Linked DNA regions of Mus musculus. The protein of the gene in region 1 interacts with the protein of each later gene in a biochemical or structural test. Links are inferred from orthologs where the notes say so. Each region holds a gene or a part of one and is shown on either strand. Other genes may lie near its edges. The genes, in order: Sort1, Lrpap1, Ngf and Sorcs1.

Region 1 (8,358 bases):
AATATTTGTTAATAGTCTGTGATCTTATAATTTTAAATGTTTATGTTGGTAGGCAAAGATGATAGTAATTAATGCCCTTCATACCTTTCCTGTGAGCATGACTGTCCTAACTAAACACATTGTGGTGGTTCTCTGCAACTCAGACAGCTGTAGCCTGAGATACTGGACGATTAATTCAGACTAGTCCAGCTCCTCCCAAGTGATTAGTAGATGTTAATACGACTGGAAATCCATTTTAAGTCTTTGAGTGGGTTGGTGTTGTTGGTTAGTTGGTTGGTTGGTTGGTTGGTTAGTTGGTTGGTTGGTTGGTTGGTTGGTTTTTGAGAAAGAGTTTCTCTGTGTAGCCCTAACTATCCTGGAACTAGCTCTGTAGCCTAGGCTGGCCTTGAACTCAGAGATCTGCCTCCCGAATGCTGGGACTAGAGGTGTGCACCAGCACTGCCTGGCCCTTGAGTGTCTCTTAAGGAAACATACACTCTTGCTTCCTTTATATGAGAACACTGCTCATTGACCATCAAAAGACTCCTGGGGCTACTTCTTTGTGTCTTAATGGACAGTCTGGGAAGAGTACCCTTTTTATGAAGTTAAGAGCTGCAAAAAAACTTAGAAAGGGGACTTAAAAAAAAAAAAAAAAAAAAAGAAATGGCCTTGGTTTTGATCTCAGTTGCAATGAGAGTTACATACCTAAGCTGTATAAGAGAATTGTAAAATTCAGAAGGAGTTTCTGTTGGACTTTGGAATGCACTATAAACTGGAGCTGTTCCCATATGGCTGCGACTCATAGTCATTCCATTTGAACCTCCTAACACTCCTAACAGATAAAGAGCTAGGTCATTGGACATAGAAAATTAAGTTGTTGCTGGAGAGATGGCTCAGTGGTTAAGAGCATTTACTGCTCCTCCAGAGGACCCAGGTGTGGTTCTTAGCACCCACATGGCAACTCACCATCATCTATAACTCCAGTGGCAGGGATGCACTCTCTCCTGGCCTCCTCAGACACCAGGCATACACCTGCTATGTAGACATGAAGACAATATCCACAGGAGTTTTAAAAATTAAAAATTGTTTTAAATTAGCAAAAACCTGTTGGGACTTGATCTCAAGATTTTCAAGGTTTCAGATCACCAAGTCTTGAGTAACCAGCAAGTCTCAACAGCAATTTGAGATGTGGTTTGCATTGGCTGAAGCATGGCTAGTCCTCTAGTCAATTGCGGTTCATTTGATGGCTTAGGAATTATTTGCTGGGCTTTGTGTAATCTTTCATTAGGAAATTGTACTCTGATACTAAATAGTAGTAATATGGTAGCTGATTTCATACAAAATTCAGTGTAGTGAAAAGTAGCGTGTGCTGAAACACATTTGAAAACATCAGTTCAGCAAAGGAAGAAGTTTTGCCCACACATACAATGAAAGCAACTTGGGTTTATTTTCAACATTCTGCAGATTTCTACTGATGTTAATCCTGTTATGATGTTAATCCTGTATCATGTGAGATTTAGCCCCTGGAATCTTGTATCAACTTAGTCATTGTCTTACGGTTTCACTGCTGTAAAGAGACACTATGACCAAGGCAACTCTTATAAGGACATTTAATCAGGGTTGACTTATAGGTTCAGAGGTTCGAGCATGGCAGCATCCAGACAGGCATGGTGCAGGAGGCCTTTATCTGAAGGCCACTAGAGAAGACTGACTTCAAGGCAGCTAGGATGAGGTCTTAAAGCCTACACCCACAATGACACACTCCAAGGCCACATCTCCTAACAGTGCCACTCTCTGGCCCAAGCATATTCTAACCACCAGTCATTTAAGAATTTTATTGGGAAGCTGTCATAGCTGTGAAAGGTCATCTGTAGTCTCCCACAGTCTAAGAAAAGTACCTCTAGTGGGAAAAAGAGGCAATCATCTCTAATGTGTATGAGTGAGTGTGTGTGTGTGTGTGTGCGCGCGCGCACGCACATGTACCCAAGTATATATGAGGAGCCTGAGGAGGTCAGAAGAATGCATTGGATCCCCTGGAACTGGAGTTACAGGTGGTTGTGAGCTGCCACGTGGGTGCTGGGATCTAAACCCAGGTATCCTGTAAGCTCTTAACTGCTGAGCCGTTGCTCCAGGTCCAGTACTGCTTTTAACACTATAGATTAATGCAGATGTGGAAAAGAATACGTTGCTTTGAAGAGGTGTGTCACTCAAGAATATACAGAGAAAAAAGCGAAGGGAAAACATAGTGTAGCCCTCCAGCTTACAGTCCCTCCTATTGCTAAGGCAGGATGTCTGTATAACTGAGAACAGTAAGTATCATTATCTGCTATAATTACAATGTGAATAATTCAAAGAGATGGTTACTTTTCTTTAAATGTTGTGTTCAAGAAATGATCTTACATACAAAAAGGTATAGCTTTGTGATAATTACTTCATATTGATATTTTTGCTTGGGAGGCTGGTGAAGGAGGATCAAAGACTCTAAGCCACCCTGGGCTACAAAAAAAGACTCCCCAGTTCAACAAACTGACAAAATCTAAACGTTAATGGAACTAAATAGCTAAAAGATGTATCTGGTAGTTTCTCCAGCAGGTAGCACTGTTGAGTTAGCTTTCTTCTTTCCCCATAGTAAGACAATAGACCATTCATCTTTGTCACCCAAACAAAGAAATATTCCTTTGTAGCCCCCTTTTTCCCCTCCGTAACTGGTCACATGCTACTGTAACTGACTGCCTTGTGATCTAATCCATACTTGACACGAATTAAAAATAAGTTGTGCTTAAAAATAAATAATGTGGCGTTTATATTTCTGGAAAGAAAACACACTCATCAGTTTTTATCTTGTTCAGTGGCTCAGAAACTGGAGGGCTTTTCTGTTGATTTGCCATCCTGTTCCGCTTTCCAGAGCTTCACAGCTCCCTTCTTACTGTGGTTTTGGGGAGAGGAAAAACTCCCGAGTACGTAAATAGTTTTGTTTGTACTATTCCGTGTGCATACTCGGGTAGGCCTGCCGTTTGAGTTTACTGTTAAAGTTAAAAGTAACTTCCAATGGCTTCCACTCTGGTATAACATTTTGCATACTTTGTATCTTTTTATCTGGCTTCCTGAGTTCCGACTGAACAACTTGAAATGTTGGGAAGAGGTGGAGTGAAGTTAAGGATTTAGAACTGGTTTTACCAGCACTGCATGTTCTAAAAGTTGTGTGAGCAGCTTCTGCGGTGTAGGGAACAGTGGGGAGGTTATTTGCTGGAGGTGGGTATTCATTTAGGAGGCATCATATTCAGTGAGGGAATTGGTGTGATGCACTTACTGCAGGGCTAAGGGTGCTTTAGGTAACTAAAATCAGAATGTGACTGTACTAAAATGATAATATATAAAGTGGGCTTTAGGCAATTCTCTTCCCGTATACCTACACTTGGTGGCAAAGCTACCTACATTTCCAAGTCCGCAGAAGCCAAAAAGTACTTTCGCCTCTTGACTACCTCCCTGCAGATGAGGAAGGTGACTGAGGCCAAACATGTTGGAAAGACTTCTGCGGCTTCCATGAGACACGGGTGTAATGATGTTCATCTGCCCCATAGGATTTTCGCATTCACCTTCTTGGCTCCTTCAGCAGACAATGGGCGAGCCAGCGAGCCGGGGTTAAAATCCTAATGTACCAGTTTATGTCGGAGCCCCTTTTCCAACTGAGAGTAGTAGTTCAGGGATTCCCTGGCTTTCCCAGGCGCGGTTTCCACCGAAGGAAATTTTTAGGAGCGTTTGGAGGGGGGTTGGGAGGAGGGTGGAGAAGGCGGCAACGTGACCCAACCCTAACCCGAGGGTCTCCGGAAGCGCCGCCAACCTGCAGGCTGAGCGGGGAGGGGAGAGGGGTAACCCCTAGGCCAACTCCGGGAGCCCAGCCCGCAGACGCCGAGCGACGGTGGAGAATGACCTCAGCCGTCCCTGCCACGTTCCAGCCAATCAGTCCCGCATCTTGGCATCCGAATCCAGGACCCCCGAAGCCGGAGGCGACGCGAGCCAATGAGGAGTGGGCCGGGAAAGAAGGACAGGCGGCCAGCCTATTGGGGAGGAGAGGCCCGGCTGCGCGTATCCAAGCAGCGCGGGGCCGAGCTCGGGGGTGTGGCGCAGCGCCGGCGGGGGTGGGCGGGCGCGCCGGGTGGCAGGTGTCAGCGGCGTCTGCATTCGGCAGCGATGGAGCGGCCCCGGGGAGCTGCGGACGGCCTTTTGCGCTGGCCCCTCGGCCTCCTCCTGCTCCTTCAACTGCTGCCTCCTGCCGCCGTCGGCCAGGACCGGCTGGACGCGCCGCCGCCGCCCGCGCCTCCTCTGCTGCGCTGGGCCGGTCCGGTCGGGGTGAGCTGGGGGCTGCGCGCCGCCGCGCCCGGGGGCCCCGTCCCCCGCGCTGGCCGTTGGCGCCGCGGCGCGCCCGCCGAGGACCAAGACTGCGGCCGCCTCCCGGACTTCATCGCCAAGCTGACCAACAATACGCACCAGGTGAGCGCGCGAGGCCCGGGCGCCCGCCCCGGTTGGGTCGCCCCTCCGGGCCCGCGGCCCCAGGCGGCCGCTCCGCTCCCATTGCACGCTTCGAGGCTAGCGCGAGACCCCGGTTGCGGAGGGCGGCGAGGCGCGGGGGCGGCGGGGGCCGGGGTGGCTGCGGCCCGTGGGGCTGTGTGTCGTCATAGCCGAGGCAATCCGAGACTTTGACTCGCTGCATTCTTTGCTTCTGCTTCTTAAGTTGTCAGAATCTCCCGGTCATCCCCCCCCCCCCCCAACCCCCACCCCGAATATAGAACGCCGGGTCCACCAACGCTGGTACCTACCAGGAAGCTGGAGGCATAATTACCCCTTGAGTGATCGCAGAAGTTGGACAGCCCAGAAGCAGAGGTGTGCCCTCCCTGGGTCGGTACTTTTGAGGTTGACGTCCAGAAATCCCACAGCAGTTGTTAGGTCATGGCTTGTGTTTCCATAGTTAAAGGAACACTCATGGAAATGAAAATGACATTGAAACCCAACCGTGAAATGATATCTCCCCTGCTCCCTAAAATTAAAAACAAAAACAAGCAAACAAAAAACTGATTCAAGATGTTTCCTCAGGATGCAGGCTCAGAACCCTCTAACCTGACCCAAAACGACCTTGAGAGGTATTCCGAACCAAATTCCTGTGTGCAGAACCCAGAGAACAGAAAACGGCCTCTAGGACCTAGATTAGAAGCAATTGCAGAACAGCTCGGATCATCCAGAAGTTCCATTAAATGGCTTTACAGAGTGGCCAACTGTCCCAAACAAGAGTCTGGTTTGTAACCAGTCAGCCCCCTCTTTCTGCATACTACAGGATCTTTAAATCCCTTTGCTCCAGACCCATTCTGGAGATTGGCTCCAGTGTGCTTTGTTTCCTTGTAAGTTGACCTATTAGGAGACTCTTTTTGCACAAGAACTGGTATTGGCTTCTGTGTGTGACCCGCAGCCAGCTGAGATCCTGTCATCTGTCTCATTCCTTCAAAATTGACTTATAACCTTGTGTTGAACCCTTACTGGGACACCTCTATCCTGTCCTAATTTCTAATAACTATGAAACATTCTGCAGATAGTCACTTTAAGCCTGCTCTTGTCAAGACTTTCAAAGATTTGGTGCTTCTGTTTTGGGCACAAGAGTCTGAACCTTGACACACTGCTGCATTGAGAAATTGTTAGGAAAGTCTTGGTTTCAGCAACTAGGACATCTTCCTCCTCCTCCTCTTTTTTTTTTTTTCCTAAAATTAACAATTGTTGCAACCCATGTATGAGAAAGGCATTTTCAGTTCAGTGTATTTTCTGTGTTATGTCTTTCCTTTTTTTCCAAAGAAAGACTGTTCATGAAGGTGGCCGTGGGTGGCTGGAGTTCTGTACCCGTTCTTTGTTTACATTCCATTTCAGTATCCCCCCAAATCTCAGTGTCCCCTTGGGGTTTCTTTTGAGATCCATACTTGTTAGTTGTGACCTAATTCTCCGATCAGAGAGAATGGAATGAGTACTGGAAAGTCTTCCTATTTAATGAAAAAGTAAAATAAGCTTGTGTAGACCTCTCTCTCTCTCTCTCTCTCTCTCTCTCTCTGTAGGGTGTTGAGAAAGAATTTACCTTTACCACTGATACTTCATGCCCATTATCCCTGGCCCACAGCTCTCTGCACCAGCAAGCCCCGACATTCTTCAATTCTTCTCTTGCTGGATGACCCATCTTCAAATCCGCAACAGTTCCCGGTTGAATGTCACTTAGAGTATACCAGTTCCAAAGAAACCTGATTCTCCTTTGAAGTTCGTACGCAGGGGGCTTTCTCGAGTTCATTTAACTTAGTTACAGCTTGCTTTCTCCCCTTCAGTCTTTATTTCAAATGATTTTCCCACCCCAGTTGTTACCCTTCCAGAGTGGAGCCTTCAGCGTAGAAACCGTTGCGAAGGTTCTGCTTCCTCTCAGGAATTGGGAAATAATCTGCTGTTTTCAGATGTCATAATTCATCTTTATGCATCAGACTGAAGAGATCTGGTGTTGGGGGATCCTTTGTAACAAGGAGAGACAAAATCAGCAGCGTCCCAGAGCAGCGTGTTTACTTATTTATTATCATCGGAGACACTGTATGGTCTCAGACAGTTGAAGTAGGAAGGTGTTCTTTAATTTTTTTTTACCTTTCCCCCATAAAGCAGAAGTTCTTATTTCCCACAGCCTGTTGTTCTTTTCGTGTCCTATCATGAGTGCACCTGAATGCTTTCCAAAGGCCCGGAGATGGGGTGGGGAAAGGGGCTGCCAAGTTATAAAGGTAGTTCAGACTTGACAGTACATAAACCGCTAAAGGTTTCAGCGTGCGCTGGAGATTGAATCCCATGCCTTGCTCATACTAGGCAAGTGCCTGCCACGAAGCCATATGTTCAGCCCTAGCATTTAATCTTAAGAAATCCACAAAACAAAGTGTATGCCTGTCTAATGACTTTCCGAGACTTCCACCCTATGCTGTGGCATGGGCTCTGTCACTCATGAAATCTTCTTCCCGTAAGCTCCCCTGCCTCTCTCTAGGTCTCCTTTCAGCCTTTCAAGTGGGCCGTGTTTATTTTCAAGGCGTGTGTTGTTCGCTTGATTCAGGTCTCTGTGGGATTTAAGGGAGCAGAGAAAATACTTTTTTTTTTCTAGTTACAGTATTGACAATAGGAACAGGAGACTTGTAAGAAAGTGACAGAAGAACTGGATGTCACTAAAACAGGAAAAAGAATGGCAACAAGACGCAGGCCGAAGGTCACCGCTTACATCTTACCAAAAAAAAAAAAAAAAAAAAAAAAAAGATACTTCCTGATTTCTTTCTGAGGGTTTGGCATGCCAGGGAAAGGTGCTGCAGCACCACAGGGCTTTCTGTGAGGCCAGCCCTGCCTGCATGTGGGTCCTCGCTGGTATTATGTTATCTTCACTAAGTTACTTAAGATTCCATGTCTCAGTCCTAATCTTTAAAATGGAGCTAAGCATGCATGCTTATGAGAAACAAACAGGACTGTATAAAAATATGCTCCGTATTAGCAGATTCACGGTCCCTGAGACTTACACCCAGTAAGTTACAAAGCGCTTGCTCTCCCTGTTAGGGATCGTCCACAAACTCTCTTAGACGCAGTAGCCTTTATTTACCTGTAGTCCCAAACTGGTGTCAGGCCCCAGCATTAACCGACTGTGGCCTTTGTGTGCTTGGCGTGTTCACAGCACACATCACCTGTGTACATGGGAGAAACTGAGCAGGCCCAGAAGATTTTTATTAACGTTGGTTGCTAAGTTGGGTTGCTTCAAAACATCCCCCGCCCCATAAGCACCCCTTTGAGGGTCGGCATGAAAGTCAGCCTGAAAGAAACAGCAGAAATGCCTTGGCCAGAGTTGCAGCGGAGGCTGACATCATTCCCTCCTCATTCCTGTGTTACAGACCATTGGATAATTTCCTTAAAAGTTCCTGAAGTTAGGATTAATAGGCCAGGAGCTGTTGCGCACTCTCTCTTCTCCCTCTCCTGCTCCTGTCACTAACTACTGCTTTACACAGAGCTTCCCAACTCCTACCCCGACATCAAAGCATCTGGTTTCTTAAGTAAACAGGCCCTGGAGAGAGGCTGTTGTAAGGCCTCAGCACCGGGAAGAATGCTTGTGTTTGTTTGCCCCGCTGGCAGAGCTGAGGCCAGGCTGACAGGACTCAGTGTGTCTGCTGGCTGGTGCAGGGAGCTGCTGCTCTCTGCCTGTTGGGGATCACCAAACCTTTGTAACAGCAGGAGAGCTGAGGGTTGTTTGTTGCCTTTTACTATCCCAGAAGTTCCTGCCTGCCTCATTTCCCCAGCGTTACCCCGTATTCATTCCTTCTCCCTCCATTTCCCACACTCCATGTCCAT
Region 2 (7,880 bases), on another chromosome or scaffold:
TTTCCTTGTGCGGACATGGAAGATTGGGCAGAGTTTCACATGGCGTATGCATTGTGCATACTTAGTGCACACATGGATCCTTAGGTCTAGAGGATGGGTGTGTGCTCCACTTGGATTCTCCTCCCATCTTCCTCACACCCTCAGCCCACAGTCAGGCATTGATAGGAAGAGTTGGGTTCATTATGTGCCACCCTGTGACATTCGGGACCTAGCCCATAGACTGGCCACCAACTCTTCTGCATACCCTGGGCGTGAGGTTCTATCCCTGCTCTGCCACTCACTGGCTAACCAGAGGCACATTTGACCCCCATCACTGCCATACCCCCACTCCTTGTGCTAACACACTGCTTTCCACGTGACCTAGGCATGCCCTGCCTCTCATAGTAGTCCCAAACTGAGGGTAGTGCCCTCTGTAAGGTACTACTGGTATGCAGGATGGGTGATGGGAGTTAATGTTGGCTGTTATAAGCAACTGAATTGTAACCATGGTTCATACAAGCAGCTTCCTCAGAACTAACCCTCAGTGCTAAGGTCTCTGCTATGGCAGGAGTTGCTCTGTATAGAGTCCCTTCCTCAGGCTTGATGGTGAGTGTGGAGTTGGCTTCCTAGGAGAGGAGGCTGGGAGCTGCCAGAAGGAAGTGAGCAGCCAGCTCTGCAGAGATAGAGTTGGGCTCAGAAATAGAGGAACGCAGAAGGCCAGGAAGAGAGCTGGTGACCACCGTCGTCTGGCTAGCCAGTGTCCTGGGTGGGGTTAGCTTCTTCCAGCTTGACAGGGTCTGGCTCATAGAGCAGCAGACCTGACAGGATTAGGAGCTGACACATGAAGTTGACCCTTCTAAGCCCTTGGTGGAGCTCTTGCTGTTGGAGATGGGTGCAGGACACCTTCTGGGTGTGGTCCATTTGGACCCTCCCTTCACTGCTCAAGTTATTGTCAATACTGGCCCCTCATCTGGGGGACCAAAATGCAGAGTCTATCTGTTTCTGTCTAAGAAACAGATGCTGCTGGTAATCATATGAAGGGTTGGGCCCCTTAACTATAACCAGCTCTACCTGGGCCAGGCCAGATCCTTAAGGGCTAGTCTCATGGGAACTGCATCATCTAGACCCTCCGGTCCAGTGCAAAACCTCACATGGCCTCAGTCCTGTGGGGAAGCTGTTCAGGGACATGCCCACTGCCATTCCCAGGGCTGCCTCATTCCCCAGGCTGGGCCTGGACACTGCAGGGAACTTCCTGAGTTGCTCAGCTCCCTGGGACTCCATTTCATAGAGAGCAAGCACTTCGGAGCTTGCTCAGTCTCAACTCTGAAGTCTTGAGCAATTTGCCTATGGGCCCAAGTCTAATGGAGCTCGAGTTCCCCACTTAGTTCTCCTCCTACCCTGACCCACCCTGGGCACCAAGGCGACCCAGGTTGGGGGTGACCAGCTCTTTTCCATGGTAGCAAGCAAGCAATGAGCAGGCTGGGGCTGGGCAGCAGAGCTGCAGAGGCAGTGCCAGGCACTGGCTCTGAGGCTAAGAGGTATCTGAGCGTACTGATTTTACTGTGTTGCCCAGGCTGCGCCCAAACGCCAAGACTCAAAGCATTCCTCTTGCTTAAGCCTCCCAATCATCATAGGTTAGAAGCTCAAGCCACTGCCCACTTTTAAAATAGCTTTGTAAGATCTAAGTTAGATCGAATGGAGTCCAGATCAAGTCACGGTGTACGCACCCACGCTGTCCTCTCACAGCTATCTCCTGACCCATCAGTAGAAGTGGCTTTCTGTGGTCATCAGAGATGCAGGACAGTGGGAATGCAAGCCTTGCAGTGTATTACTCCCATCTCCGGGGGTAGGGGAGTGGGGGTTCAAGCTTCTAGGCACTATGAAGCACCATTATTCTTAGGCCTGGGAAAAGGGTAGCCATCCCCCAGAGTGTAAACTGAGCAGCAGGGACACTTGCAGGGTAGGTTATGACTGAAAGCAGAGCCCATCAGAAGCAACAGTGTGGGAGGCTGCATTGTGAACCATGTGTCCCCTGACCCACTAGGGCATGGAGACCATGGTGCCATGTGGAACTGCCCAATGAGAGCTGTTGGATGAAGGCCCAAGAAAATACTGGGATCACCAGCTTAGAGATGACAAAGTAGCACCACAGAAATTCTGTACCCTTTCCAGAGAAGACAGGGTCACAGGTGAGGGACAGATCCCCAGCAGCTAAGCAGAAGTTAGGCCTAGGAGTCTCTCTGCCCTTAAGAGCAGGGATCAAGCAAGCCCTCTCACCAAGCAGGCATGGGTGGCTTCACGTGGCATGCAAGTTCCAGGGTAGTCTGGCTGGCAGGGGCATGGAAGTTACAGGACAGTCATTTTTGAAGTCAGCTGGCAGGTTTGCCCATTGTGTGTGAGTGACAAAGGGTGCCAAGACCTCCAGAGTGGAAGGGCTGTGGGCATGCATAGAGCCTGGACATCTCAGAGGCTAGGTGCCTATTGGCCAGCCTCTCCTAGCCATCACTCTGACAGGATGTCAGGAGACTGCTCAGTCCAAACATCAGCACATACCCTCCCTGCCCATGAGCTCCTGATTTAGGAGGGCTCAAGCAGGGAGCGTCTGTGTTGGAACCCAGGATGCCTTGTGAGTCCCTGGCCTTGGGAACCTAAGCTGGTGCGTGTCTCCCCCAGGTCTCGTGTAGCCGCTCAGTGGGGGGTGAAAGGAATCTTCTAGAAAAGGAGAAGCAGACTCATTGTACAGGCTCCTGTGGCAGCTTCTGCCTAGTAAGGGAGACAGTGTCCAATAAAAATCAAATGCCCCCTCTCTAGTCATCCTGGCCAGATACGGACTGGATGGGAGGAAGGACGCCCAGATGGTGCACAGCAACGCCCTCAATGAAGACACCCAGGATGAGCTGGGGGACCCCAGGCTGGAAAAGCTGTGGCACAAGGTACCACCTCCCATTTTCCCCCTTGTCTTCTGAAACACGTGCCAACGATGTGGGACTGGGGGGCTCTGTGTCTGCTGTCACCTTTACACCAACTCAGGCTGCTGGCTCCACCGCGAGACATGATCTGTGCGCATGTTCTCCTTTCTGTGAAGTCTGAGCTGTCCTGGTTGGTTACTCTTGCTCAGCAGAGCTGCTCCTAGCTGTCAGGACTGCAGTCTTAGATGTGCTCTTCACGGTGTGTGGCTAAATCACACAGTTGTCAGTCAGGTCAGGTAGCTGTGTTTCCTTTCTTTTGTCTGGTCTGTGGTCTTGCTTCTGGGCTTAGGAAAGGGACCCTCAGCTGTGTACAGATGTTGGCGTGGGCTCTTGATACTGTGATTGGGAAAGTGGGCAGCACTGGGTGTGGCCCACCTTTGCTTTGTGGTGCAGACAAAGCAAAGAGCACAGGTGTGGGGTGAACACTGGGATATGGCATTGGTTCGGTGCCACAGGCTCACTTGGTCCAGCTCCTGGGATAGCCTGTCTGGGTTACACTGATCTGGTCCCTGCTGGACTATCAGGATGGCCCTGCTGTTCTCAATGTGTACACAGCGGGAAGAGTTAGGCAGATGTAGGCCCCTTCCGCAGAGTCCTTCCCTTTCCTTCTCTGTCCAGTCCTGTCAAATCGGGACTTCAAGGAACAGAGGCACTGCCCATCAGGAGCTTCCAAATTGATTTTTCTTTTCCTGGTGCACACACCTAGGAGAGGGTCACAAGGCTTGCTGGGGGTAAGAACAGCCCCAAGCTCTTTGCCCTGGAGCAAGGACGCAGCTGATAGGCGCCTAACTCCTTGGGGTGTGCTGATGACTGGACAGACATGGTCACCCAGGCTGTTTCCTCTTAGGCAAAGACATCAGGGAAATTCTCCAGTGAAGAGCTGGACAAGCTGTGGAGAGAGTTTCTGCATTACAAAGAGAAGATCCAGGAGTACAATGTGCTGCTAGACACACTGAGCAGAGCTGAAGGTCTGCCCACGCCCGTGTGTTCTGGGTGGGCACAGTGGGACACGGTTGCCTAGGGTTGTGGGGAGGGGAGGGGAACGCTTCTCTTATGTTTCTACCCATGTTCATGAATGCATACGGTTTTTATATCAGTCAGTACAGCTCTACAGATTGCTTCTGGGGTGACTGAGGTGCCCTGATGTAACAGGCCACCGCTCTAACCTAAGCCAGCCACCGTGAGTTCTAAGTAGTGTGACCTTGCCAAGTAGGGGGCCTGAGAAAGTAGGAGGCATTAGGGACCATGGAGACCCCTGGGGCAAGCCTTGGGTACAGGTGCTGAGACATCCACACTTAGATGCTTTGAGAAAGCACATCCATTATTAGCTAGCTCTGAGAGCTGCAGAGGTATGGCCTGTGGGTGGACGTGGAGCCATCTTGGCGACTAAGATGCCAGTTCTTGTCAAACATTCTGTGTCTTGTTCCACAGAAGGTTATGAGAACCTTCTCAGTCCCTCGGACATGGCCCACATCAAGAGCGACACCCTGATCAGCAAGCACAGTGAGCTGAAGGACAGACTGCGCAGTATCAACCAGGGCTTGGACCGCCTGCGGAAGGTCAGCCACCAGGGCTATGGCTCCACCACTGGTAAGCCCTGGGGACAGGTGCATGGGCCCAGGAGTATCTAGGATACTTGTCATACTCAGTTGTCAGTGGCCTGTCCTGGGCCCCACTTCCTGGAGCTGTAATATAAGTGTCTGGGCTGGGAAGATGGCTCAGCGATTCAGAGTACTGGCCTACTGCAGAGGACCTGGGTTCTATCTCCAGCACCCACATAGCAGCTCACAACTATCTGTAACTCCAGGCCCAGGCCATCCAGTGCCCTCTAATGGCCTCCGCGGGCACTGTCTGCCTATGGTACACAGACATACATGCAGGCAAAACATTCATGCACATAAAATAAAGGTTAATTTTTTTGAAAATTGTTCTGGGTCGGCCATCAGCCCTGTCATCAAACTTATTTTGAAGTGGTAGCAGAGTGGCCCTCCATCCAGGCTGTCTTTCAGCCTTGGTAAACGTCACACAGGACTGTCTCTGAACCCCCTTGCCAGTGGAGCCCAGTCTGGGATAGCCAAAGGTCCATGCTGGCCTATGGCCCTTGTATCAAACAGGGTGCCAGCTTCTGCTGCAGTGACAACCCCACCCTTTCAAGACTTACATGAGTGCTAGGGCCAGGCTTGCTGTCTATCCCTGGGGCTCCAGGAGGCGGCATTGTGGGGGACTGGGGAGGCAGGGCTAGTTTTGTGTCCCGCAACAGACAAAGTCCTCCATGAACAGCCTTAGACAGCATGGGCCCAGGCAAACCTTCTGGGGAGCACCTGCAAGGCCTTGCAGGCATGGCGTGCTCTTGTGGGGCTGGGCTCAAGGACTGTTGTGAAGTCATTGCTCCCTCTCCAGAGATTGCGTGCTGTCTCAGGCCAGTGGGGCTATAAAAGGGAGCCTGGCCATGGTCAGTGTTGCGTGTCACCACTTTCTCTATCCACCATCCTGCCCTCCATGGGCCATCTCCTAGAGAGCTGCATCCAAAAAGTCCCTCGGCTTCTCCCACTGGCCTGCCTGTGGGAATATAGGTCTAACTCCTATATTCTCTGGAGAACCAGGGTTCTCCTGGGTCATGGATGGGAAGGGCCCTGTGGACAGCAGGATTTTCTGAGGCCAGGGAACCTAGTCTAGGGATCATGGGAGCTAAAATGTGAATGGGCAAACCTCAGCCTTGACTTGGTGACAGCCCTCCCTAGTGCCCAGCTGGATGTTTATGGTCCTGTCACACCGCTGCTCTCAGTCACTTCCCCCACCCCCTTGATTGAGAGCCAGGAGCAGGCTGATGGCCCTGGGCAGGGGTAGCAGTTGATTCTGGGTCTAGAGCATGTGACCCCCTCCACTGGTGCAGCCGGGTTTCAATCAAGCTGCATCTAAGCTGGAGCTGTGAGCACAGACCAGGTACTTAGTGCTCCCAAGTTGCAACCCACACTATTCCCTTGGGATGACAAGCCACTTGGCCCCCAGCACCGAGGTGTGTCCTGACTTGCCACCTATAGACAGCCCTTGCTCTCCTGCAGAGTTTGAAGAGCCCCGGGTGATAGATCTGTGGGACCTGGCTCAGTCTGCCAACTTCACTGAGAAGGAACTGGAGTCATTCAGGGTAAGGAAACAGGGACAAAGCTGTGTCGCCTTCTGTTGTGGTCTCCAATGGGGCCAGGTTCTCTGTTCCTTTTCCTCATCCCACAGTGCATTTGTGTTTTTGTCCTGACCCTTTTCCTTCCTGCCCCTGGCCTCTGCTGTCCCCATCATCCTGGTCGGCAGTCAAGTGGTAGCAGGCGGGCACACGCCACTCACGCCAGCAGTGCCAGTGCTTCCTGTGTGCAGCATGGTGGGGTGGCCTGCCCTGCTCTGTGCTGTGAGGGCTGAGAGGGATGAGCGGCCATGTGCCTGGCCCAGCGTGCGGTGTGGGAGGAGCTCCAGGAAGCTGATGGGGGCAATACCTTCTGAATGGGATTGTTGAGAGTTTCTTGCTGTTTAGGGTAGGATAGGACCTGCTTGGGACCTGTATAGTCAAGGTCCCCAAGTCATCCAAGACTTCTCCAGTGTGTCTGTGCCCAAGGAGCTCCAGAGGTGGCGTTTTTGGAGGCCACCACTGACCTCCCAGTGATCACTGGACCCAGGAGGTAAAGGGAGCAGGCAGGGAAGATTCCAGCAGCAGGCAACCTGTGAGAAGCAAAGGAGCCCTAAGGGGCAGGGCCAGTGAGGTGGGCACAAGGCTATCCTCACGAGGGTGTAGCTTTTGTGGCCCTGGGAAGAGACCTTAGATCCCCAAATCCAGCCTGCCTTAGTCTTGATCTCCTGAAGGTAGAAGATGGGTGACCATCCCGAGTCATCGGGAAAGAAGGTATCCAGGGATGGGAGTTCAAAGGTCCCCACTGCTATCAGGTTCTGGTGGACAATCCCTGTTTAGAGACTCGTAGCAGTAAGCATGTGCAGTTCTCAGGCGTGCAGCCCGGGAGTTGCCAGCCGTGGCCTGGACCATCGGTGGACAAGAGACAGGCACCTCAGGGCTCCGACTGGGGGGAGACTAAGCTCCTGATGTGTCCTAGGAGGAGCTCAAGCACTTTGAGGCCAAAATTGAAAAGCACAACCACTACCAGAAGCAGCTGGAGATTTCCCACCAGAAGCTGAAGCACGTGGAGAGCATCGGCGACCCCGAGCACATCAGCCGCAACAAGGAGAAATACGTGCTGCTGGAGGAGAAGACCAAGGAGCTGGGCTACAAGGTGGGGATGCCGTCCTCCACTCCTCTGTCCCTGCGCCCAGTCCTGTTCAGCCTTCCCTTGGGTCTTAGACAAACATGACCTCCTGACTCAGGGAAACACAAATGCAGTCCATTGGAACTGTGAGTGGCTGGGTACTCAGCATGGGAGATGCTCAGCAGACACTGTGCCTGTAGACAACATGTCAGATCAGATGTGCATGCCTGTAGATAGACATGGAAGGCAGCCAGCGTCGTAGCAGCCAAGGGAGCCTCTGGACAGGGAGCTGTTTCCTGGCCTGCTGAGGTGTGCGCTTGGATCCCAGACTGGCCACACGGGGATATGACATAGGTGGCCTGCAGAGGCAGTGGGGTCCCCAGGAGCCCTTTAAGAAACAATCTCTGGGGGCTGGTGAGATGGCTCAGTGGGTAAGAGCACCCGATTGTTCTTCCGAAGGTCCAAAGTTCAAATCCCAGCAACCACATGGTGGCTCACAACCATCCGTAATGAGATCTGACGCCCTCTTCTGGAGTGTCTGAAGACAGCTACAGTGTACTTACATATAATAAATAAATAAATCTTAAAAAAAAAAAAAAAAAAAAAAAAAAGAAACAATCTCTGGGTTAGTGGAAGCAGAACAAGCAAAGGCAGACCAGCTGTGTCAGCAGTCCCCACATGTGCTGGG
Region 3 (7,678 bases), about 5.8 Mb from region 1:
TTGAGTAAATCAATATGGTTTTCCCAAATTACATTTTAATAAAAAACTGAAGGGATCAACTCTTAATGAACTATCTATCTGTCCATAATGCAAGTCTCCACTGCCACCGAATGACCATGGATACCATGTGCTAACCCAACAGCAAAGCCACAGATAGCATTAAGAGTTTAAATCATTGTGGAGTCTGTTGTATAGAGTGAGGATGTGCTATATAGAGTAGAGAACTTTATAATTCCATAAATTAAGAAAGTCAGAGTCTGTAGACACCTTAAATATCAGCCCCCAGGTAGAGCAGTCAAGACACTCAGAAGGAAAGAGGTGACTCCACACGGAATGCTCTTTTGAGGTGTGGGTGTCACAGGAGACAACAAGGCAGCAGACAGATTTCTGCCTATGTGGAGCTCTCTCCCTCCATCAGAGAGGATAAGAGAACACACCTGTCATAAGACAAATGTACCAGGGAGAATTTCTCTGCCTAGAGCAATGGTTCTCAACCTGTAGGTAGCCTACCCTTTGAGGGTCAAATGACCCTTTCACTGGGGTCGCCTAAGACCATCAGAAAACACAAATATTTATATTATGATTCATAACAGTAGCAAAATTACAGCTATGAAGTAGCAATAAAAATAACATTATGATTGGGAGAGTCACTACAATATAAGGAACTGAATTGTGAACTGAATTAAGAAGATTGAGAACCACTGGCATAGAGTCAGAAGTTATTGCAGTGATGCCATTGAAGTTAGAGGTTGGGAGACAACAGGATGGCTTCTGACAGTAGATAGAGAGAGCAGAAAGGGGACGGGGAGTGCAGGGGAAGCATACCAGAAGGAAAGAGCCCAAGCACAGGGCAGGAGCTGTGCCAAGAGCTCGTGTGTGTGGGATGCGAGGTAAAGTGGGAGGAGGTGGGGCAGTTGCCAGGCTGAGTGAGCCAAAGACAAGGGCTCACCACTGGCTTCTTTGACTGAGTTCCTGAGGCCAGAACAATGCATTAAGAAGCCTAATGGTGGAAGTCAGGGGAGACGGCACCAGAGGAAGGTCCAGAACATCAGGTGGAATGTAGTCCCACCATCTGAACCCAAAACACAGAAGTGAGGCTGGAAAGGAAGTTACAGCTCCAGGGAACGATACTCCAGCAGAACTGGAGAGACAACATAGAGAGGTCTGGATGAAGGGCAGGGACCAGAGGCCAGGACGAGCTGAGATGTGCAGCTGGTGAATGAACACATAATGTTCTTAGTAATGGGAAAGCAAAATGTGAAGACGCCACTTAGGAGAATGAGAAACAGGAACAATGGAGAGAGTGACTGTGGAACTGTTAGGGGGAAGAAACCAGGTGGTTTTGGCTACTACTTCTGATCCAGAAGATGAAAGTGGGACAAGGGTGGACTTGAACATGAAGGTTTTGTTCAGTGATGTCTTGCACTGAGACTGCCAATATCCACAGAGAGATGCCCTCAGGAAGCAGGAGGTCTAGAGGGTGCTCCAAGGGAGCAGGTGGGCCAGGGATGGAGCTATGGGAGTCAGCAGTCTGCTTAGAAGAAGATGGGCTTCCCCAGCGGAGCTTCCAGGATGAGACAATGGGAAACAGCAAGGCAGGCCTTGTTTCCATTGAAACCCTATACTCTGGTCAACTTTTCCTCAGTTCCTGATCCAGTTCTAACAGGTGTTACCAATTTGGGTATAAAAGTATGGACTTGAGTTCTGTGTCTTCTGCCTTAATTCACCTGATGAAAGATAATGCGTACCGAGAAGAAAGGCGTGGAACAAGAAAAGGATCAGACATAAAAGGCTGGATGAGCTGCCAAAAGAATGATCAATTCTCCAAGAGTTGGCAAGACAATTATCAGCAAGACCTTTTACCATCAGATCTGGGAGGGGGAGTCAAAAACTCAGGTACCGACTGCCTCCTCCTCTGTACGGGTGGCTGGAGAAGTGGAGCGACAAAAAACATTCCTGGAAGAGAAAAGAATGTGGTTGGATTTTTTTCTTGGATCCCACCAAGAAGAATAGCACTATATGGGATTCACTGGTTGAATGCGGATGAGAAGGCCTTGTGCAGCCCTGGGAACAGTCAAAAGGACCCATGACTATAATAGAAAGCAAAGGGTGGGCTTCTCTGAAATCTCCATTCAATGTTTTCCTCATTCTCCACTTCTTTCTTGAGGAGCTATAACATTCCAGACACTGTATATGGCCATGCAGTGATTGAATGGAATGAAAGTCACGTGGCTTCTAAAGCACCATCTGGGAGGGAGACAGACATGAGAATGATTATCCACATCACCAGGTGAAGGAAAGGCACAAGATACATGTCCCCATACTGATGGAGGAGGCTGCCACCCAGGCAGATTACACAAGGCTGTGTCCTCTAGGACCACACAGACACGGGGTGAACAAAGGCACAGGCTTTATAGAAGTCTGAGAGAGGAAAAACAATATGCTCTGAAAACCCACAGGTGGAGGGGCCCCAGAGGGAGGACAGCAATGATAGAACTAAAGAAGACAAAGTCCTTGTCTTAATAGAGATGTGATAGCTTAGAATCAACACGTGCTTAATCTAAATATTCAGCCTGGAAAATCATGTTTACTGCCCTCAAGGAAACTAAAGTGCAGTTGATTAAATGGCTTTCAAATGCTGACAAATACCTGAGCTGGATATCCAAATTTTCTCAGTTCCAAATATATATAGATATAGCCATATAGAGATATAGACATACAGACATATAGATATAGATACATATTCAGCAGGAAAGAGTACACATGCATGCATTCAGACACACGCACACAACACATAGAAATACAGAGACAGGCAGACAGATGGAGCACTTATGTTAGAGTTATTAGAGAAAGCTTCAAGGATTAGGACATGTCCAAAATTGGCTGAAACAATAGGGGAGGAGGCAAAATGATCCATCAGCACAGGAGATGAGAGAAAAGATGAGTTGGGGGCTTGGGAAACACTGTGGGAGAGCCCTCTGAGCCAGCCATTATCTGCAGAAGCTTCACAAAGGAGGTGGCCTTTGATCCAAATCTGCAGGTGTGAGCTGGTGCTCGGTATGGGTAGGACCATGGTCCCCAGAACAGAGCTGACTCTAGCGTCACTCAGGGTGAGCTTGGTTGAGCCTGATATTTGTTCTATACTCACCTTCAAGCAAGAAAAAGAAAATACCTGTTCAAAAATGAAAGAGAGAAGGGGAAGGAGGGAAGACATACACACGGACTTGGTAAGGGGTGTTTGATTATCTTTCTGTCCTAGCTTCTGCCTGTAGGTTGGTTCCTTGTGGATTGGCCTCCTTACACAGGAAAGAAAGATGGCGGTTCCTAACTAGAATGCCCCACCCCCCGGAACTTTCAGTTACCTGTGATGCTTTGTGGATTTATTTCAAGAATGCTCAGTCTCCAGGCTCAGAGCTACTGAGTGAAGGAAAAAAAAATCCAGTGCTGATGCTTCAGGCCACACTAGCTTCAATGCCTTCCAGAACCTTCCTAAGGGAATCACATTCAGGGTGCAGGCACCATCACCATGCAGCCCTTCAAGCTGGCAGTCACAGAACCCAAAGAGTGAGACCCCCAAGTTTCTAGGCAGGACCCTGTTGCTTCCCAGAACAGAATGACCACACAACCTGCTCCGGCTAATTCCAGAGATCCAAGTGTGATTGCTGCCCGTACTTTTCTCTCACAAGTGTTCTACTTTGGGTATTGAATCCAGGCTCTCTACCCATAGCCTACCAATGAAGCCTCCTGGCATCCTCTTGGGAGAACCCTGTGAGGGAGCATGACACCTTCCCAATAATGCTTAACACCACTCCCCAGTATAACTTAGGTAACCTCTATCTTTTTTTATTCCAGGTGCATAGCGTAATGTCCATGTTGTTCTACACTCTGATCACTGCGTTTTTGATCGGCGTACAGGCAGAACCGTACACAGATAGCAATGTCCCAGAAGGAGACTCTGTCCCTGAAGCCCACTGGACTAAACTTCAGCATTCCCTTGACACAGCCCTCCGCAGAGCCCGCAGTGCCCCTACTGCACCAATAGCTGCCCGAGTGACAGGGCAGACCCGCAACATCACTGTAGACCCCAGACTGTTTAAGAAACGGAGACTCCACTCACCCCGTGTGCTGTTCAGCACCCAGCCTCCACCCACCTCTTCAGACACTCTGGATCTAGACTTCCAGGCCCATGGTACAATCCCTTTCAACAGGACTCACCGGAGCAAGCGCTCATCCACCCACCCAGTCTTCCACATGGGGGAGTTCTCAGTGTGTGACAGTGTCAGTGTGTGGGTTGGAGATAAGACCACAGCCACAGACATCAAGGGCAAGGAGGTGACAGTGCTGGCCGAGGTGAACATTAACAACAGTGTATTCAGACAGTACTTTTTTGAGACCAAGTGCCGAGCCTCCAATCCTGTTGAGAGTGGGTGCCGGGGCATCGACTCCAAACACTGGAACTCATACTGCACCACGACTCACACCTTCGTCAAGGCGTTGACAACAGATGAGAAGCAGGCTGCCTGGAGGTTCATCCGGATAGACACAGCCTGTGTGTGTGTGCTCAGCAGGAAGGCTACAAGAAGAGGCTGACTTGCCTGCAGCCCCCTTCCCCACCTGCCCCCTCCACACTCTCCTGGGCCCCTCCCTACCTCAGCCTGTAAATTATTTTAAATTATAAGGACTGCATGATAATTTATCGTTTATACAATTTTAAAGACATTATTTATTAAATTTTCAAAGCATCCTGTATACCGACACTTGAGTCCTTTCTCTCAGTAAGAGTACCCACAAAGTTTGAGAGAGTGCGGAAATGAACTGTCCCCATCACTCCTGGCACCATAGCCCATCTGAAACCTTCATTCCCAGCCAGCCCTGCTCCGGGGCTGGCTAACTAGTTTCAGACACTGCTCTACACCCACCCAGCATGATTAGCGAGGGAAGTCAGCCTGCAGGCTCTGGTCTACATTCCAGAGCCAAGTCTGCCAAATCCTTGGATTATCTGCTAAGCATGGATCCATGAGCTTTGATTGCCTCTCTTGAGGAGAGTAGAGCAGTTGAGACTGGGCAGAAAGCAGGTTGCTATGAGAGTCTCTGAGAGACTGAGGTTGGTCCTCGAGGATACTGGGAACTCCCAGTGTGGATAAGTAGAGGCTTCACGGGTCTCCTGGCTTCAGTCAGTTGGATGGGCAGCCTGAAGGAGCTGTAACAAAATCATCTCCTGAGGCCTGTCATGGCAGATCTGGTTTCATGTTAAGATTGCCTTTGCTCTGATGGCTGCTTCTCTACTATTCCCCTGTGGCTGCCTGCAGAAAGACTTCCACAAGAAAACAGCAGGGCTTCCAAACCTCTTGCCACCCACGCACCGGAACAGCTCAGGTAGCAACTATCGGTGGCCCTGGCAACCCAGCATCGGCTTCCGAGTAGAAAGGCAGGGACCGGTCAGAAAGGAACTTCTGAAGGTTTTTTACTCTTACTTAGATGATTTCCACAAGTGAACAGAGCTGGCTGGGACAAGACCTGTAGAGATCAGAGAGTTGAGGTAGAACAGATATAGTAAGACCAACACAAGCTCTGGAAGATGGAGAGGGGAAAGCCCAAGCCAGTATGACACAGCTGCTTTCTGTTCATAGGTGCATGCCTGCGTGTGTGTGTGTGTGTGTGTGTGTGTGTGTGTGTGTGTTGTGTGTACACATGTGCACATACTTGCTGTCTATCCTTTACCAAGGCCCTTTCCTCCTAGACAGCCAGTTCCCTGGGTAGTTTTGGAGAAGGGGTAATTTTTTTTAATGTGCTCATGCCCACTGTCTCCAGAGCAATAAAGGCAACAGAGAGACTACGGGATCCTCCCTGAAGCAGGGCATGACCAGCTCCACATAGTCAAAGTCCCCACACCCTTCATCTTGTTTATTTGTTTATTGTTTTTCCCTCGAGCCACAATTTTTCCCCCTAGAATAGGAAACCTCACAGGGAGATTTTGTCCACACCTCTCCTCCAAGGATAACAATGTCTACTCTGTTTTTAAAAAAAAAAAAAAAAAAAAAAAAAAAAAAAAACATCCCAAATTGTCCATCAGCTAAAAAAGGTTGCATTCAATTCCTCTGTACACCTCCCTGCCCTGACCCACCCTAACCCTCACTCAAATGGGGCAAACAGGAAACTGAGAGACTGCAGTGCAGACCTTTAGACTAGGGTGAAAGCCTGATGGAGGATGGTGATGGCCTTTTCTATCAGGGCTACTGCAACTGCAATAGAGTTATGTTCAAGAAACACCAACCAGAACATTCTGTGCTGAGATGCTGGGTCAGATAAGGGGAGCTCTCCCTCTGGCCTGCGTCTGTGGGTTTTGCAGGGCTCCAGTTCCATGGCCTCAAAAGTCCCAGGCCCCTCGCATGAGCAGACTATGAAGCTCTTCTCTTAGGAGGCAGACCTGCTAAGTCCTGGATGTGAGGAGAGTAATGGTGAGGGAGATATTCTGGAAGCATCTACGCAGAGCAGCGGTGCCTCGGAGTGGCTATACCACCAAAGCCATGCCTGGAGAGCTGTGCCCAGGGCTGCCAGACTCTTTGGGAATATCTGAAAAATTATCATTGGCTCTCCTTGGCCAGCTTACAGAACTGACTCAACATCCAGATCTCTAACGGAAACTGGTTGAGGACACCCCATCTCCACAAGAGAAATTCTTTCTATAGTTACTGGTAGAAATGGGCCTCCTGCACCAACACCCCTACTGCTCCCCTGAAGGGAAACAGTGCTTTAGTAGAGTCAGGGTGTGGAAGCTAATGTTTTCACACAGCGTGAGGGGCTATCAGTTTGGCTGAAGAGAATGTAAGTTGTCCAAAACCAACCCCCAGCCCTGGTCTTTCTGCAGCTTCAACTCCTCCCTACGTGGAGGTGAGCACCAGCCAGCAGGCCTACCCTGGCTTTCCCTGAGAGTCCACTGCATGGCCAGGGTCCCAACCACTTGAGCATGAGGAAAAACCAGCTCCGAATCTCCCACTGTGTTCAGAGAGAAGCAATGACCCACCCCAAAAGGCTCTTCCCTCCTTGTCTGTGTCTCCCTGTGACTTTCCACCTCTGTTTCCCTCTTCTCTTCAGCAGCATCTGCCATCTGAAGTATCCTCCAACCTGCCACAGAAAACTAACACAATCCCACCATCCTCCCTGCAAGCCCAGCCCAGCCAACCGCTCTCCCGGATCCATTCCCTCTGACTCCTGGTTCCAGGAGCAGATAGCACTGGGTGATCTGATTCAGGGTTAGAGTCCCAGTTTGTCCTTTGGACTTCCCCACCTCCAGTTGGACCACCAGCATCTCCCCAAGAAGGTGGCACTCCTAACTGAAGGCAGAGTTAGATGCAGCTTTTCAGCACCACCAAATAGCTCAGCTTGTTACTGTGGACCGCAAGAATGATCCCAAAGTTTAAGCACTCTGAGGGGAGTACAAGATAGAGGGCAGATCTGCCCCATCTGGGATACCTGCCTATATTCTGGGGACAAAGAAATAGACTAGAAAAGCAGAACCATGCGGAAACAGGCTATCTGGAACTTAGGGTCTATTCTCAGCATTGACCTTATAATCTCCCTACAGAACAGTGGGAGGCACTGGGCCACACAGTGTCAAGGTCATCAGTTATGCATGGTGGAGAAGCAGTCCCCAGTGGTGGGACAAGTTCTGGGAAGA
Region 4 (7,880 bases), on another chromosome or scaffold:
CCTTGGATGAGAGCTTTTCTTTTTGATTTCCCAAGGCAGAAGTCAATCTTCAGGCTATTCACAGGATAGGATAGATGTACCCCCTAAGCAGTCATGACCATATTCAGGCAGTGAAACATCTTCCATTCCATTCTCTGACTTGGTAGTGTATTTATGCATGATGTGAAGCGAAGTCAGTTGAAGAGAGTTTCTTCAGTAAAGACAGGGGATAATAGACTTACATTCTGCCTTAGCTTTCTCACCAACACAAAGGTGCTATATTTGCCAGTGGGTGCAGCCCCAGCAAGGAGCAGCCACTGTATTCAGAGGCTCAACAATGGAATGCTCGCTCACACCAACCACCGTGTTTCTCTCTTTGATGTACGTGCATTGTGACACCCAAAACTTCTATTTAGTTTTTGGAAAAAGACTGAACTGAGCTTTCTTGCTTGTCTGATAGGCGATCATAGAATTGGTGCTATAAAGTTATGTAGAAAGAAACATAGTAATCTGAACTTAAATCAGTTTTATGTTTCATAGCAATGCTGTTCTTTCATGTGATCATAAATGACCAACTGCAATTCCTTTATAACAGGAAAACGGAACTTAATTATTATAGGTTAGCAGGCAATTCATTAGTTGCAGGATAGCCACATTCCGTGTCCTTCATTACACTATGCCTAACACACTGACAAAGAAAGCTATGCTTGATATATAAAGAGTTAAAGCTAATATTAGAAAAATAAGCATTGTTTATTGGGGTTGCCTTTGTGTTCATACTTCATATTAGGCGTCAAAACGGAAATACTAATAGCGTGAATTGGGTTCCCAAGGATCATATTTATATTAAAGTTTGTGAATATCTCTCCAAATCACACTGTGAGGCTGCAGGAGAAGTCTAATCTTTGTGCTTGATTTTGCATGCTATTTGCCTCCTATTTGCAGGGGGAAGCATGCATCATGGGAGCCAAGAGGATATACAAGAAGAGAAAGTCTGAGCGCAAGTGTATGCAAGGAAAGTATGCGGGAGCAATGGAGTCTGAGCCTTGTGTTTGTACAGAGGCAGACTTTGACTGGTGAGCTCCTGTAGTTATCCCACAGAACTGTTCACTAATATGACATCTGTGAAGCCCTGAATAAAAGCTTTAACTTGAGAAAGTGGTAAACAAAACTAGCGCTAAGTGGCAGACCTTATATTTTTATTAAATTCTCTCTTGGCCACATCACGATTTTTTTTATTAACTATGTGAATGTGTCTTTCAAAAGAAATCAGCGGTTTCTTCTTTGGATTTTAAGAGGGTTTACAAGATGGTTGGCAGTTATTTTCATATTGATGCTGGATAGTCAGAAAAATGGAGACGCCAAATCTATCTCAAGCTTCTTTAGATAGCAATATGGGAAGCACTAACTAGAGCTCCCAGAAAGCAAATATGTTTATGTGTTACGTAAAGTTGTTTTAGCATTGAGCATCCTTGGTAAGCATAATATCCACAAAAGACATAAATCCTTTGTCTGTGAACGTTTCCAGCCTGTGGTGGTTGGCTAAATGAAGCTTATGAGAGCATTGAGTGACATTTATAGTCTCAGTACAAGAGTGGACTCAACTTGATCCTGTGAACTGAGTGATAATAAAGCTAGTTTAACCTGGAGAGGCAGAAGAGACATTGGGAGGCTTCAACTAAACTCAGCAAGCACTAGAGTTCTTCCAGACATTTGCTAAACATTGGAGAGCCAATGATCTTCTTGCTTTATTCTTGTTTAGTATTTAATGAGCGGGTAAAATTGAAAAATTATTTAAGAAGTCTAATAAGCCACCATATTTTCTTTTGTTCTTTCCCTCTTTTTTATCTATTTCGGAATAGGAAGCAATTAATATATATTTATGTAAATGTTAAAAACTAAAAACTTGAAACATATATAAATTATTAATTCTTACTATTTTGGCTATGTGACTGTAACAGCTCACATGTATAGTGTCATCAAAATGTGAGTGACTTATGTGAGACACAGGCTACACATGCATCTCAGACCATAACCAGGTCAGTCTCTTCTAATGGTAGACCACTAGAGATGTTCTCTGAATTAGAGGTGTTGAGAAAGCCTGCCAGTTGTCAAACAAGTAACCCAACATTGCTTTCTCTTGTTGATGAGCAAGAAAGACCAAGAGCCAGCATTTTAGCTCTTTGCACTTATTGGAGGGTATCAGAGCTTCAGCAATAACAGAACTCATGGACGTTCTACAGGGGCTTCCCCTGTATGCTCTTATGTCAGTGATATGTAACTGCAACAACAAAACTGCCTTATCTCTACCCTGAACTTGGGACTGATACCCAGAAAGATACTCACAGAAAGACCTACCTTGAGATTTTGTCATCCATCACATCCCTCTTTCTGAAGCCTAATTCTTGATCATTTACTATACTGAAGGAGAATTTGCAAAGTAAGTTGGCATGTTATATCACTGGAAGAACTATGGCTCTGTGCAGTATCCATTCTTCATACAGAACAAAAATATCTGCTAGAAGGAAATGTAAGAGAAAATGTACCCTAAAATTCTGCCTTTTTCATAAAAAACATTTTCCTCTTTGAATCTTTCTTCCTAAACCATTTCAACATAAGCCAATATTTTGGTTTTGTTCAAGGCAAAAAAGAATGTAAGATAAGGAAATAAATTAGGCTTCTCTCCCTATTCTTGCCCCATGTCTGTCTTGTTTAGGTCATTGAATTCCACTGGTGACTGGAGTCTGCTACCAGTCCCAGAGGCTGAACAGAACTCTAAGGAGTAGACCGTGAGTCTTAAGTTGTGCTCCTGTGTGGTTTCTTGCTCAAATGGGACTACATGATGATGAAAATGTTTTGGAAGGCTCACTGTGTGCTTGTTGGGCTTCTTTTAGAAGCTGGATTTTCTACAATCTTACCTGATAGTAGCATAATGAAAGATGCTCATTGGATGTTCTTTGTTAGCCAGGCTCCCTGGATATTGTCCAAGTGACACTGCGTCATTCTCCAGCTTTTGTCGGGCATTTCCTTGAAGTGAGCACTGGGTAATTCTGGAAGTGGCTATTCTGTCATCTTCCTACTCATGCTGGGTTGAACCAGGCCCTAATCTAGAGGGATGTACAGAATATGAAGTTCCAGTTGTCTGATGACAAGCCCTTGAGGCTGAGCCCATTTCTCCCTCCATGTCCATGGTGTGCCAGCATCTCACCTCTATCACAAAGATGGACCAATTTATACTAGTGCTTGCCCATTGCTGCCTGTGATTTGTCTGTGCATGTAGAGGTACAATTTGTTGTCCTTTTCTGTGCCCAGTTTTACCTTCCAGAAGCCAAGAACATCAGAGGTCCCTGGAAGCAAGAATGAATAGAAACCAAGAGAAAAAAATTAGAGCATTTTCAATGCAGAGGCAAGATTTAAGGCAGTTGTTACCAACTGGTAGTGAGAAATGCTGAGGACAAAACTTTTCCTTGGGGAAGCGCTTGAGAGACTCCTGAAGGGCATTTTCTTTTTGGCTGTAACTCTGAAGCATATGGCTTATACGCAGAGAAACCTGGCTCTTCTCTACTTGTTACAGCCAGATGTTTTGGAAGAGCATCCCAAAGACATCACTGGTAATGAGGACTGTACCACATGTGGCTGTTTTCACCAAGACTCAAGCTCCCGACTCAGCCATGTTCCTATTTACTCTTTCTCATTACATGAGACCAAAGTCATTCCTCTCACCTTGAAGGCATCAAAAGGGGAATATTGGTTCTATAAGATATTTTCATGGGTAATAGATAATGTATAGAGAAAAACTTTTAAGTCCTAGAAGACTTAAGCATTTAGGCAATGCTTATTTTATTGACTGATTAGAAGTTGGTTGTCAACTACTATGAAATAGTTCTGAATAAGTTTGCCATCTGGTAAATGTTTCGTCTTGGGTATGTCCCCAACAGTGACTATGGCTATGAGAGACATAGTAATGGACAATGCCTGCCAGCATTTTGGTTCAACCCATCCTCACTGTCAAAAGACTGCAGCTTGGGACAGAGTTACCTCAACAGCACTGGGTGAGTTTCTGTGGTAGTAGGCTTCAGGGGCCAACCTTGGATGATGATGTTACTCTGACACAGTTCCTTCTGATCATACACCGGACTTGTTTTCCTATAACACAATGCATTTTTGATAGAATGTCATTTCTTGTCACTATATTGCTGCCATTAAACATTTAGCATGTGTGTTTATGTGTGTGTATGTGTGTTTGTATGTGTGTGTGAGAGACAGAGACAGAGGGGTATGTGTGTATGTGCAAGGTTATGGGGATACATGCTTTGGAGGCCAGGGGTTGAATTCAGGTGTCTTACTCAATTGCTTCTCAATGGAATATTCTGAAACACCATCTCCCCCTAAATATAGAACTCACCATTTCATCAATAAATGGTTGGCCAATGAGCTTTAGGTATTTATCTGCCTCAAGGATTTATAGTGCCACTTTGCCTAGCTTTTCACATATGCCCCGAGAATCTGATGTCTGGTACTTCCTCATGGTTGCATAGTATGCTATCTCTCCAGCATAGATTTCTCAGCTTTTTGGCTCACATATTTAATTTCAAAAGAAATATACAGGTATGTTTTATTTAGTTAAAAGTCCAGTTTAGTTCATCACTCCAGTACTGGCCCCATTTTCCTCACAGCTCTGATCTCTATGCTGTGTAAGTTTCCAGACATTTTCCTTGCATTTTTCCAACAATAAATTTCTCCAAGAAAAATACATAAAATCCACATGGAAGATGACTGTTATATGGTTTGCTATATTTGTTATATGTTCTTCTTTAATTTGCCTTTTTCACTCTAAAAATATATCTTAAGCATCTTTACAGGTCTGATTAGATCGGGCTACTTTCATACCTTTATATTGCATCCTATTCAATAATAAAGCATTATTTAATTATTATTTTTCATGGATATTTGGGTTATTCTGTTTTTTTAAATGCCACTATCAATAAAACTACAATTAACATTCTCTACCACAACCCTTGTTGTTAAAAACACTCGTAGATAATTAGAGTTTCCTTTGTTAATTAGAAGTGTTTCTTTTAGCTTATAGAGCAAATTACATTCAGCCAACTGGTTTCTTTTTAGGCTCATGTATTAGGCATTGTCAAATTTTCTCTCACAGAGATGAAAATTGCAGTTTCTGCTCACATACTGCTAGGCTGTTCTAGAGACTAAAGAGTCATCTTAAGTAACTTCCATCCTCTTGAAAATCCAGTGGATTCTGCCGAGGAAAACTTAAATGGAAGAGAAGTTGAGAAAGGTCAATTCAGATTCAGTGAACAATAAGACTGGCCCAGTTGGCAAGAGCTACTTGACAAAGTCACACTGTTGTTTAGAAGCCTTTAGAATTAAGTAAGCAAGTTGGACTAACTCCAACACTACCTTTAACCCTTGTCTATGCATTGCCAGGATGCAGTCTGTATCAGCAGAATGAAAGGCAAAGGCCTCAGGGTCATAAAATTAGCCTGAGAGCATGCGCTTGCCTGCTTCTGGCTTCCTAGACACAACACTCCCTCACGCCCTCACGCTTTGTCGGGTTCCAGAGCATGTTGCAGACATACAGGCAGAAGACGAACTGAGTGAGGTCTTCTAGCTAAAGGTTAATCACAGTGATGGTTAATGAACTAACCACAGAGCATGTAGCAAAGTCTGGGTCTCTCTCTCTCTCTCTCTCTCTCTCTCTCTCTCTCTCTCTCTCTCTCTCTCTCTCTCTCTCTCTCTCTCTAAATGGTTTGCTATATAAACAGTCAGCTTTAGACTCAGCATATTTGTCTTGGTATATAGCAGTGTTCCTAGGTTCACTCACTTCACCAGAATGGAAATTTTCATCATAGGTTATTATTCTTACCAATGAAAATGTTATTTTAAGGAGATACTAACATTTTTTTTTTGTAATCAACTTGACTGTGCAGAGGTGAAGGGCCTCACAGTTTGTTCTGCAATTGCTGGCCAGGATTTAGAAGAGACAGTTATAATAAGAAGTAAATGACTGAAAACAGCACCTACATGTCCTCTACCTTTGTTTAGTTCACTGATGTCAGGATTTCTGACATCCACACATAGAGGTGCCTGTCAGCATCTCTCTCCTCTGTATCCTTGTCTTTTTGGCCTCACAAGTCTTACACATTATCACATCCAGAGTCCAAGCAAAGACAATGAATCAAGTTTTCTACCGCAGAGGAGCTAAGATTGCAATGCCATTGAATAACTTTCACTTAGTTCAAAAGTGAGGTCCCTTGCTATTTGCTGTCAGGTTTGAGCTGTGGTTTGTTTCTTTGTGCCTCTCAGTTTCTTACCTATGGAAATTTCTTATTTGCATTCAGCTTGTGATTAAATGTGGTACTATATCGAGAATGTGTAGACTAAACCCCAAGAGACAGTCATTACTTTGCAAGATACAGATCACTCTAGAATAGGGGATTAAAAGAGAAAGGAAAAATCCTTTATTCATTGTGAATGTTTAGTAGAGGCATACATGACCTTTAACGGCCACTTCAGTGTTGGTGTCAGTGACATATTTAATCTACCTACCAGTTTCTCATCTATAAACTAGAAATAGTGATCAACAAAGGCTCATAATGTCACCTGATTAGGAAGTGATGTGTCAACTACTGTTATAAAGTCACATGTCTAGAATGAGATAGACCACTCACTGTAAACCAGAAGCTGTGTCTATTCCTCTACCCTGTCCAGGCCAGGCAACTAGTTTGCCTGATTATCGAACAAGTTCTGTGGTCTCAAAAAAAATATCCATTTCTGTTTTTTATTATATAAAGATAAGCAGGTAGCCCCAAGGAATCCCCTGTCTGCCCCACCTTTTGTGTCTTCTTAAGCAATGGCTTCATATATCTCAAGTTGTGAATGCACAAGCTTATTAGGTTATATTTATATGTTGTGTTTTAACTGTTTGGAACTAGAGAGCAAACTGCAAATTAAAGTTGCTAAATTAACCAGGACATTGGTTATATTATATTACAGTGAAAATATGGGGTCAGTTTATTCTACAAAAACAAGGCAGTTTTCTTAAGGGACAGATTTCTTCTTTTTATTTAGTTGAAGACATTTCTTGCTGTGTTCAAATGGATGTGTGTTGAAATCTCTGTCCATGTGAGTTTCTTTACAGGAGCCATTAATCGCTCATGGAGTAATATTCAAACACTGTTGTTCATGACTAGCTGCTTAATATTTAATAGGGCTGTTTACTTAAGATGCTCACTTAAAATAACATAAGTGAGGTATCTATATAAAAATATTTAGTAGGTCCATCAATAAGTATCACATATACATTTAAGCAAAGGAATAACTTTCATATTATTACCTTATTCCTTGATGTCATAAAAATAAGGTGTTTATAAATATAATCTTCTCCCTACTAGCCACAGACACAGACCTGAGTAATCTGTTCTCACATAATGTCTATACCCAGTATCACTGTGGGGAATTTGAGTTCTTCCCACCTGATTATTCCGGATGACCTGTGGGGATCCTGATGTTCTGTCTGATCTATACTCTGTGAGATTTCCCAGTGTGCATCAAGGAGAATAATTAGTCTTAAAATTGCTGCATGTGTTGAAAGTCCACAGAAAGGAAATCACTTGCATTATTTACAAACTGATCACTGCAGGAGCCCATGTAGTTGTTTTCGAGCCAGGACTCCTGTGGTCTCAGAGTGGATACAAAATAATTGTTACCTGCTAGGAAGTCATCTCTTAGATGAGGTGTTCCATCTTTTCATGGGATGGCATAGCAGTTGGGAAATAGAGATCCACTCCTTCACATTTTTGCTTCCATCCACATCAATAATGCTTCGATTAGAGGTTCCCACACAGGTGCTGTGACATTCTGGCATTGATAGTTCTTCA

What was found.
Region 2: the proteins of Sort1 (region 1) and Lrpap1 form a complex in vitro, tested with the Homo sapiens proteins (4 studies listed by BioGRID and IntAct, with this or other methods). The link is inferred for Mus musculus from reciprocal best matches to the Homo sapiens genes SORT1 and LRPAP1.
Region 3: the proteins of Sort1 (region 1) and Ngf form a complex in vitro, tested with the Homo sapiens proteins (3 studies listed by BioGRID and IntAct, with this or other methods). The link is inferred for Mus musculus from reciprocal best matches to the Homo sapiens genes SORT1 and NGF.
Region 4: the proteins of Sort1 (region 1) and Sorcs1 form a complex in vitro, tested with the Homo sapiens proteins (2 studies listed by BioGRID and IntAct, with this or other methods). The link is inferred for Mus musculus from reciprocal best matches to the Homo sapiens genes SORT1 and SORCS1.

Annotation. Positions count from the first base shown.
Region 1 is NC_000069.6:108,279,971-108,288,328, forward strand, and holds the start of Sort1 (sortilin isoform 2 precursor), read left to right. Parts: upstream 1-4,093; 5' UTR 4,094-4,170; coding exon 4,171-4,470; intron 4,471-8,358.
Region 2 is NC_000071.6:35,094,189-35,102,068, reverse strand, and holds part of Lrpap1 (alpha-2-macroglobulin receptor-associated protein precursor), read left to right. Parts: intron 1-2,790; coding exon 2,791-2,912; intron 2,913-3,795; coding exon 3,796-3,916; intron 3,917-4,379; coding exon 4,380-4,538; intron 4,539-6,010; coding exon 6,011-6,093; intron 6,094-7,042; coding exon 7,043-7,219; intron 7,220-7,880. UniProt on the Homo sapiens protein: Molecular chaperone for LDL receptor-related proteins that may regulate their ligand binding activity along the secretory pathway.
Region 3 is NC_000069.6:102,516,259-102,523,936, forward strand, and holds the end of Ngf (beta-nerve growth factor isoform B precursor), read left to right. Parts: intron 1-3,852; coding exon of another isoform or gene 3,853-3,864; coding exon 3,865-4,590; 3' UTR 4,591-4,755; downstream 4,756-7,678. UniProt on the Homo sapiens protein: Nerve growth factor is important for the development and maintenance of the sympathetic and sensory nervous systems.
Region 4 is NC_000085.6:50,218,274-50,226,153, reverse strand, and holds part of Sorcs1 (VPS10 domain-containing receptor SorCS1 isoform 1 precursor), read left to right. Parts: intron 1-924; coding exon 925-1,055; intron 1,056-3,917; coding exon 3,918-4,031; intron 4,032-7,880.